Linked DNA regions of Rattus norvegicus. The protein of the gene in region 1 binds, or shares a complex with, the protein of each later gene. Links are inferred from orthologs where the notes say so. Each region holds a gene or a part of one and is shown in the gene's direction. Other genes may lie near its edges.

Region 1 (4,559 bases):
TGCAATCCCTCAGGGCAGGGTGGACCACGTCTTTAAGTCCAGAATTGGGTAAGGAGAGGCAGGCAGATCTCTGAGGCCTGTAGGGTCTACATGGTGAGGTCCAGGACTATAGAGCCTGTCAAAGACAAACGACTGAAGATATTCTGTCTAACACACAAACCCAGAAATGGCTGAGAGGCTGTGAGTAGACAATAAACAGGAAAGTATAGATATTGATTTTTTTTTTGAGACAACGTTTCTCTGGAACAGAGGCCTGGCTGTCCTGGATTCTCTTTGTACACCAGGTTGGCCTCAAACTCATAGAGATCCTCCTGCCTCTGCCTGGGATTGAAGGGGTATGCCAGCATGCCCGGCCTCACCTCTGTTTGCGTCTGTACACTTTTCTACCTATGGCCATCCCCTCATGAGCATCAAGGTCTAATCCAAGCGTGTCTTTCTCTCCCTCTGCACGGTTCCTGATCTATTCGTAGAGAAGGGACGCCGTCTTTCTATAGGCTGGATTCCTAGAAGTGAGATTGCTAGGTCATGGAACAATTTTAAAAATTTTAATAAGTACTGCTAAACTACTTTCCAGAGAAGATGAAACTGCTGGCAGCTGGAGGCAGGGTGTGAACGCCTGTGTTCACACATTCCAATTCACAGCCGGCACTGGCTGTGGTCAAATTCCAGGTTTCCCCGTACCTGCGTGTGTGGGACACGGGGTGGGGGAAAGAGACTCTTTCAATCTGGTGGATCTGATTAATGAGCTTATTTTTGACTGGTGCTTCCTCCACCCCCAGTTTGCCTGCCGTAGGTACTGTCTTTGTAGGTGGGGTGGTAGAAACCGGTCCCTCAGGAAAGAACCTGGGGATTTGAAGATTCAAAAACAGTCTCTAGGAGCTCAGTGTCTTGAATTTTTCAGGGTCCGGGTCCAAGGGTCTTGGCTAGGTTCCTTAGGGCCCGCCCAAGGTCAGAACACCCTGGGTGCTTCCGGGCGGGACCGCAGCCAGACTGCGCCTCTGGTGTTGCACCAAGAACACCCAGGAGATGCCCGCAGGCACCTTGAGGAAGGTCAGCTCCCCTGTACCGTTTTGTACCGCCTGGATGCAGTGGATGGAAGCCGTACCCCATGCTAAAAACCTGGTATCTCTTGCCATGACCCCCTCAACACTGCTGTCGGCCTGACAAGGCAGGAAGCAGGGAAGGCAGGAACCTCAAGTGCTAACTGGCTTTCCAGACTCAGTTTCCTGCCCCGAGGCAGTGTGTGTGAAGCAGGTCTAGGGTATCTACGGTCCTGGGATTTCGTCTTCGAGATCCTGAGCGAGCGCCACGGGGTTGACCAAACTGCGCAGCGGGGTCGAGACTTGGGGACCCATGGGGTGGGCCGCTGGGGGTGTCGAGGGTTGTTGCCTCGGACAAAGCGGCGGCACCACCCCAAAGCGCGGGCCAATGGAATGAATGGGCTATAAATAGCCGCCAATGGGAGGCCGGCGACGCGCCCCTTAAGAGCTCAGGGAGCAGCGAGCGGCCGTCGTTCTTCTGCGCTGCGCCCGGAGCTGCAAGCACAAGCAGTCTGCGTTCCTGCTCCGTCCGGAATCCCGGTGAGCGGGTCGGAGGGTGAGGGGCTAGTCCTGAGGGGCGCTACGCGGTTGGGTGCATCACGCGCAGCTCGTTGCCCGGAGCGCGTCCCGGACCCGCCGGGGAACTTGGGATGCGCCGGACTCAAAAGATGCAGACCTCGCTGACCTTGGTGACGTCCGAGGAAAGCTTCGGGGGTCCGGATTGGTCTGCAGGTCTCTGGAGACCGGTGTGTAAAGCTCCTCTGACCCCGCTCTTCCCCGCAGCCTGCCGCCGCCGCCGCCGCCATGCCCTTCTCCAACAGCCACAACACGCAGAAGCTGCGCTTCCCGGCCGAGGATGAATTCCCTGATCTGAGCAGCCACAACAACCATATGGCCAAGGTGCTGACCCCCGAGCTGTACGCGGAGCTCCGTGCCAAGTGCACGCCGAGCGGCTTTACGTTGGACGACGCCATCCAGACTGGCGTAGACAATCCGGGTATGCACACCCTTGTAGCGTCAGGCTTTCGTCTCCCCAACAAGCCCCCCGGGCAAGGATCCCACTGCTCTTCCCTGAACCCTCGGCGGGGTGGGGTCTCCTGGTCCTCTCTGCGCTTAGCCATAAGGGCCTCAGTGCCTTGCTCTAGCTTGGCGCTGACGTCACTGTCGCCGCGCCCCTCCTCCAGGCCACCCGTACATCATGACAGTGGGTGCAGTGGCGGGCGACGAGGAGAGTTACGACGTATTCAAGGACCTTTTCGACCCCATCATCGAGGACCGGCACGGCGGCTACCAGCCCAGTGATGAGCACAAGACTGACCTCAACCCAGACAACCTGCAGGTGCGGGGCGTCAGGGTCCGGGCGTGCTGGGGAGAGGGGGTCTCGGCGCTCACTCCGGCCACTGCCTTGCATCCCTAGGGCGGCGATGACCTGGACCCCAACTACGTGCTGAGCTCGCGGGTGCGCACAGGCCGAAGCATCCGCGGCTTCTGCCTCCCCCCTCACTGCAGCCGTGGGGAGCGCCGCGCCATCGAGAAGCTGGCAGTAGAAGGTAGGGTCCGGTATCAGCCACCAGAGCTGCTGCGTTCTTGTCTGGGCGCGCGCGCATTCCCCCAGGGGTCTGAGGGTGGAAGACCCAACTAAGACAGCGGGGACACTGCCGCGGGCGGGGTGGCGAGCTTTCTAGCTCGCCCACCCACCCACCGGGTCCTTGAACTCTGTACTCCGCAGCCCTGTCCAGCCTAGATGGCGACCTGTCTGGCAGGTACTATGCGCTCAAGAGCATGACCGAGGCGGAGCAGCAGCAGCTCATTGACGACCACTTCCTCTTCGACAAGCCTGTGTCGCCTCTGCTGCTGGCCTCCGGCATGGCCCGCGACTGGCCGGATGCTCGCGGCATTTGGTACGAGCCCTCTTCCCTCACAGTCCCCGGAAGGTGGGGCACGGCCTGAATTCGTAGATTGTGCGTTACCACACTGTGCGCAGGTGACCTTGGTTCTGCGGATGACTGAGGTCCCTGCGCCGCGGGAGGCCGCAGTCTCCAGGGATTCAAGGGTGGTGACCAGTTTCTTTGGCGTCTGTTCTCCGCCCTCCTCCTGGGAGCCGGCGCTTCTTGTTTTCTCTCCTCCTTCTCACCCCCTTATTCCGCCGGGATTCTGCCAGGTGCCAGTGACGCAAAAGCCTCCGCACCCGTCCGGGCAGGGCTCCTACCCCTGCAGACTGCGCGGGCGGAGGCGTGCTTCCTCTGGTGGGCTGCTCTGGCTGCTCCAGCCCCTTGCGGGCCACGCAGCACATGACTGGTGATTGAGGTGCCCTGGTCTCCCTGCCTTCGAGTGTTGCTGGGTGGGCGTCTTAGAGACAGCCCACACTCCTGCACTTGGAAAGCGCTTTGGAGGTCACCCACCTAGGGCGTCCTGCTGGGTGTGACCTAACTAAGGCTGTAGACTTTGACTTTGGTCTGCCCGACCCCCTCCTCCAGGCACAATGACAATAAGACGTTCCTGGTGTGGATCAACGAGGAGGACCACCTGCGGGTTATCTCCATGCAGAAAGGGGGCAACATGAAGGAAGTTTTCACGCGATTCTGCACTGGCCTCACTCAGGTCTGGCCTGGTGCTAAGGAGGGAGGGGGTCGGGGGGATTTGAGTCCACATTTCCCAGGGTGCTTGGGGCTTCCAGCTACATTTTCCCTTAACTTTCCCTTCACCTTCAGATTGAAACTCTCTTCAAGTCTAAGAACTATGAGTTCATGTGGAACCCTCACCTGGGCTACATCCTCACGTGCCCATCCAACCTGGGCACTGGGCTTCGGGCAGGCGTGCACATCAAGCTGCCCCACCTGGGAAAGCACGAGAAGTTCTCGGAGGTGCTCAAGCGACTGCGGCTTCAGAAGCGAGGCACAGGTGAGGGGCAGACGACTCAGGTGAAGCAGCAAACGCGGCTTTCCCCAGCCCTGCTGACCTGCCTGTCTCCCATCCCCAGGTGGTGTGGACACCGCTGCTGTGGGTGGAGTTTTTGATGTCTCCAACGCTGACCGCCTGGGCTTCTCGGAGGTGGAGCTGGTGCAGATGGTGGTGGACGGAGTGAAGCTACTCATTGAGATGGAGCAGCGGCTTGAGCAGGGTCAGCCCATTGACGACCTCATGCCTGCCCAGAAGTGAAGCCTGGCCCTAGCCACCACCAGGCTGCCGCTTCCTAACTTATTACCCGGGCAGTGCCCGCCATGCATCCTTGATGTTTGCCGCCTGGCGGCTGAGCCCTTAGCCTCGCTGTAGAGACTTCTGTCGCCCTGGGTAGAGTTTATTTTTCTGATGGCTAAGCTGTTGCAGACACTGAAATAAATTAGGGTTTGGCCTGCCCTATGTCTGAGTGTTGCTTCTCCTTTCTTAGAGACAGTCGTGTGTGTGTGTGTGTGTGTGTGTGTGTGTGTGTGTGTGTGTGTGTGTGTCCATCCGTCCTTCCTGGCCTGTCACTTCACCTAGCAGATGAAACATGAGTCTTAAGATACAGGGCAGAGGGAG
Region 2 (3,003 bases), on another chromosome or scaffold:
CTGTCTTTCTTCAAGGGTATGGGGACTTGGGAGTATTAGCTGAAACTTCACTGTGTTGTGAGTTGGGCTTGGCACAGAAGTTAGGAAAGGTGGAGATCTCCTCCCTTTTCCTGGAAGCTAAAGGGGAGTATTTCAAGAATATTCTCCCCTGCCTCTCCTGTGCTTGGCATCTAAAACATGTTTTTTCATGGCCAAGATTGAAAACATGAAATGACTCCCAACAAGCTTGCTCTGAAGTTTTGTCCTTCGTTGACCTTCATGAGGATATCCCAGAGTTGCCCCTAATTAAGCACATCTTCAAACACTGCTTTCCATTTCTCTCAAAGTGTGTGCTGTGAAATTTGCTGGCTTGTGCCTTGAACATAATCTGATGGTGCCTTCACTTGCGACCACTCCCTTTTGGAAAGTGCTGTTAGGGTTCCATCTAAAGTTTACACACATCCCTTTGACTATACTTGCCTTCACTTCTTGTTCCTTATCACCCTAGAGATCCATAACTACGTTTACCTATAGCTTGTGGTAAGGCTACAGGGCAGCAGAAGCCAGAGTATCTTTCAATTGTAGTCTCAAGATTGACTTCACAAGAAAATGGCCTGGGTCCCATGCTTTAATAAAATTAGGGTGCACAGGCACAAACCAGCAATAATTGAATCAATGTCTCTGGAATGGGACACAGCATCATATAGTTTAAACTTCCCCAACTCCAGCCAAATCTAAATTTCACCATTGATTGAGAGCTACTGTCTTATGGAATTTATTATGACTATATAGTTTTCTTTTTTTAAAAAAAATTACCGAAGAAGAATTCCCATTTTAATTTGGTTCAAGGAATGGTCATTATACCTTACCTTTTATAGTATCATAGGGATTCTAAACCTTGTTACCATTGGCAGTTGGAGTCAGTTAGGAGCTGTGCTGTGCACAGATGCTAGCAAGTAATGCTAACATTTTCTCAAGTAATGCTAATCAAAAAGTGCCTCAAGATACTGACTAATGTCCCCTAGGAAGAAAATTCCTTTCTTTTCTTTCTTCCTACCCAGCCTGTTGAGAACCGTCATCCTAAAATGAAAACTCTTGCCTGCTCCCTGTGCATATTTATGTTAGTTCATTTTCCATCCATGAGCTAAAGTTTTGGGAAATTTTTGAGTACAGAAGAGAAAAGTAAACACAAAGGAATTACACAAACTTATTATTTCCTTTGAGCTAAGCACGTTTGAATGCCTTTAAGTTGCTAATACTATAAACATACTTTCATCTAGCAATATGGTTTAATTTTTAAAAGACAACATCATGAAATATGAATTTTACTTTTTACGATTGGAACTTTTGCATAGCTGTTTTATTCCCAAATTAGTTTCTTTTCTTTCTTTTTTTTTTTTTTTTGGTTCTTTTTTTTTTTTCGGAGCTGGGGACCGAACCCAGGGCCTTGCGCTTCCTAGGTAAGTGCTCTACCACTGAGCTAAATCCCCAGCCCCCAAATTAGTTTCTTTAAACCTGTTAGTGAGGTGGCGAAGTTGTAGATAACTTTCACTCTGCCCTAAATTAAAATCCAGTAAGGGATGAGGACGGCTGAGCAACTAAGAGTGCCTCCTGCCATGGCAGAGGACGGGCACTCTGTTCCAGCACCCACATCTGGCAGCCTACACCCATCTGTAACATAGGTGGTGCCATGCTCTCCTCTGGCCTCCATGGTACTCTCAAGCATGTGCTCATGCTATCATGTATACATATACATACAGATAAGAATAACAGAATCTGAAAACATCAAATGATCTTCCTTCAGTTAAATACACTCAGAGAACATAGCCTAAAAATGCCTCCTTCATATATGCAAATAATAACAAATGAAAAAAGAGACCTCGAATTTATTTGAAAGAAAGAGTATACAGGAATGTTTGGAGGGATGAGGGGGAAGGGGGAATTGGTGTAATTGTATTATAATCTCAAAAAAAAAAGAAGTAAAAAATGGTAACCCCCTCATTTTTGTATAAGAATGCTATATATATATATATATATATATATATATTGCATGATTTAAAAGGCAGTCCTAGATTAGCAAAACCATCATGATTGGTCCCATGTTCTTTCTCCAGGGCCCCTCTCTTTGATGCAGCTATGCCGTTTGAGAATCCGGAAATGCTTTGGCATTCGGCAGCATCACAAGATTACTGGACTTCTTCTTCCGGAAGACCTGAAGCGCTTCCTTTTGCACCTTTAATTGTGGAGGGACTGGATCCACAAGCAACTGAAAAATGGTGTTGAAACTCCTACTATTGGAGTTTCAAATAAACTAAGGTTTATGATGGCAGATTAGTGTTTTCTTTCTTTTTATTTTTTTTTTCCAGTAAGACCCTTATTTTGAATAAGAGCACACCACGTACTTTATAGTCTTGGTTGGAGAGTGTGAAGACTGCCTGTCCTCTGCTTAAATGTGATTGTCTAAAAACAGCTATTGGTTTTAAACATGTCCTACATGCCAATCACCGAGCAAGGAACACTTTCAGCATTGTCTAATTGAGCCTTCACAGCCAAGTGCCCAGGTGGGTCCTATTTACTGCCTCTGCCAGGTGATACGCCGAAGCCCAGACTGATCAATATATCCAATTACCAAGATCAAGGACAGGGGAGCCAGATGCAAACATAAATTGTCTGCTGTTAACCTGGACGGTTTCAGCTAAGCCAGAATTTTCTATCATTATGGTCCTGGTTCCATTTCCATGACACCGAAAGGGAGACAAAGAAGGACAATGCTTCTTTGTGTCAGTACTTTTAACCTTTTCTCCTTTGCTGTACTACTGACTGTATTAGATCTAGAAGCATGTTTATTTTCTACCTCAAATCCCATGTGCATAGTAAGTACCTTCTAGAACTCTGCTGGGCAATATAGTTAGCTGCTCTTCAGAGCTTTCCACTGTGTTCGATTTTTTTTTTTTTCGGAGCTGGGGACCGAACCCAGGGCCTTGCGCTTCCTAGGTAAGCGCTCTACCACTGAGCTAAATCCCC

Evidence for each region. Proteins that work in one complex are often made in the same cells at the same time.
Region 2: the proteins of Ckb (region 1) and Asb9 are in contact, whole or in part, in a cryo-EM structure (PDB 6V9H), measured with the Homo sapiens proteins. The link is inferred for Rattus norvegicus from reciprocal best matches to the Homo sapiens genes CKB and ASB9. Residues at the interface, in NP_001814.2 of Homo sapiens: Asn63, Pro64, Gly65, His66, Pro67, Tyr68, Ile69, Thr71, Arg130, Arg132, His191, Val198, Ser199, Pro200, Leu201, Leu202, Leu226, Trp228, Glu232, Ile238, Met240, Asn286, Arg292, Gly303, Lys304, His305, Glu306, Lys319, Arg320, Gly321; in NP_001026909.1 of Homo sapiens: Leu25, Asn27, Pro28, Leu29, Met30, Gly31, Asp32, Ala33, Val34, Ser35, Asp36, Trp37, Pro39, Glu42, Ile45, His46, Trp60, Ala67, Asp68, His69, Glu75, Ala100, Asp101, Trp102, Val111, Asp133, Leu134, Ser165, His166.

Annotation. Positions count from the first base shown.
Region 1 is NC_086024.1:136,550,424-136,554,982, reverse strand, and holds Ckb (creatine kinase B-type), read left to right. Parts: upstream 1-1,518; 5' UTR 1,519-1,580; intron 1,581-1,823; 5' UTR 1,824-1,844; coding exon 1,845-2,037; intron 2,038-2,224; coding exon 2,225-2,379; intron 2,380-2,457; coding exon 2,458-2,590; intron 2,591-2,769; coding exon 2,770-2,941; intron 2,942-3,517; coding exon 3,518-3,641; intron 3,642-3,751; coding exon 3,752-3,941; intron 3,942-4,020; coding exon 4,021-4,199; 3' UTR 4,200-4,400; downstream 4,401-4,559. UniProt on the Homo sapiens protein: Reversibly catalyzes the transfer of phosphate between ATP and various phosphogens (e.g. creatine phosphate).
Region 2 is NC_086039.1:33,587,789-33,590,791, reverse strand, and holds the end of Asb9 (ankyrin repeat and SOCS box protein 9), read left to right. Parts: intron 1-2,093; coding exon 2,094-2,218; 3' UTR 2,219-2,308; downstream 2,309-3,003. UniProt on the Homo sapiens protein: Substrate-recognition component of a cullin-5-RING E3 ubiquitin-protein ligase complex (ECS complex, also named CRL5 complex), which mediates the ubiquitination and subsequent proteasomal degradation of target proteins.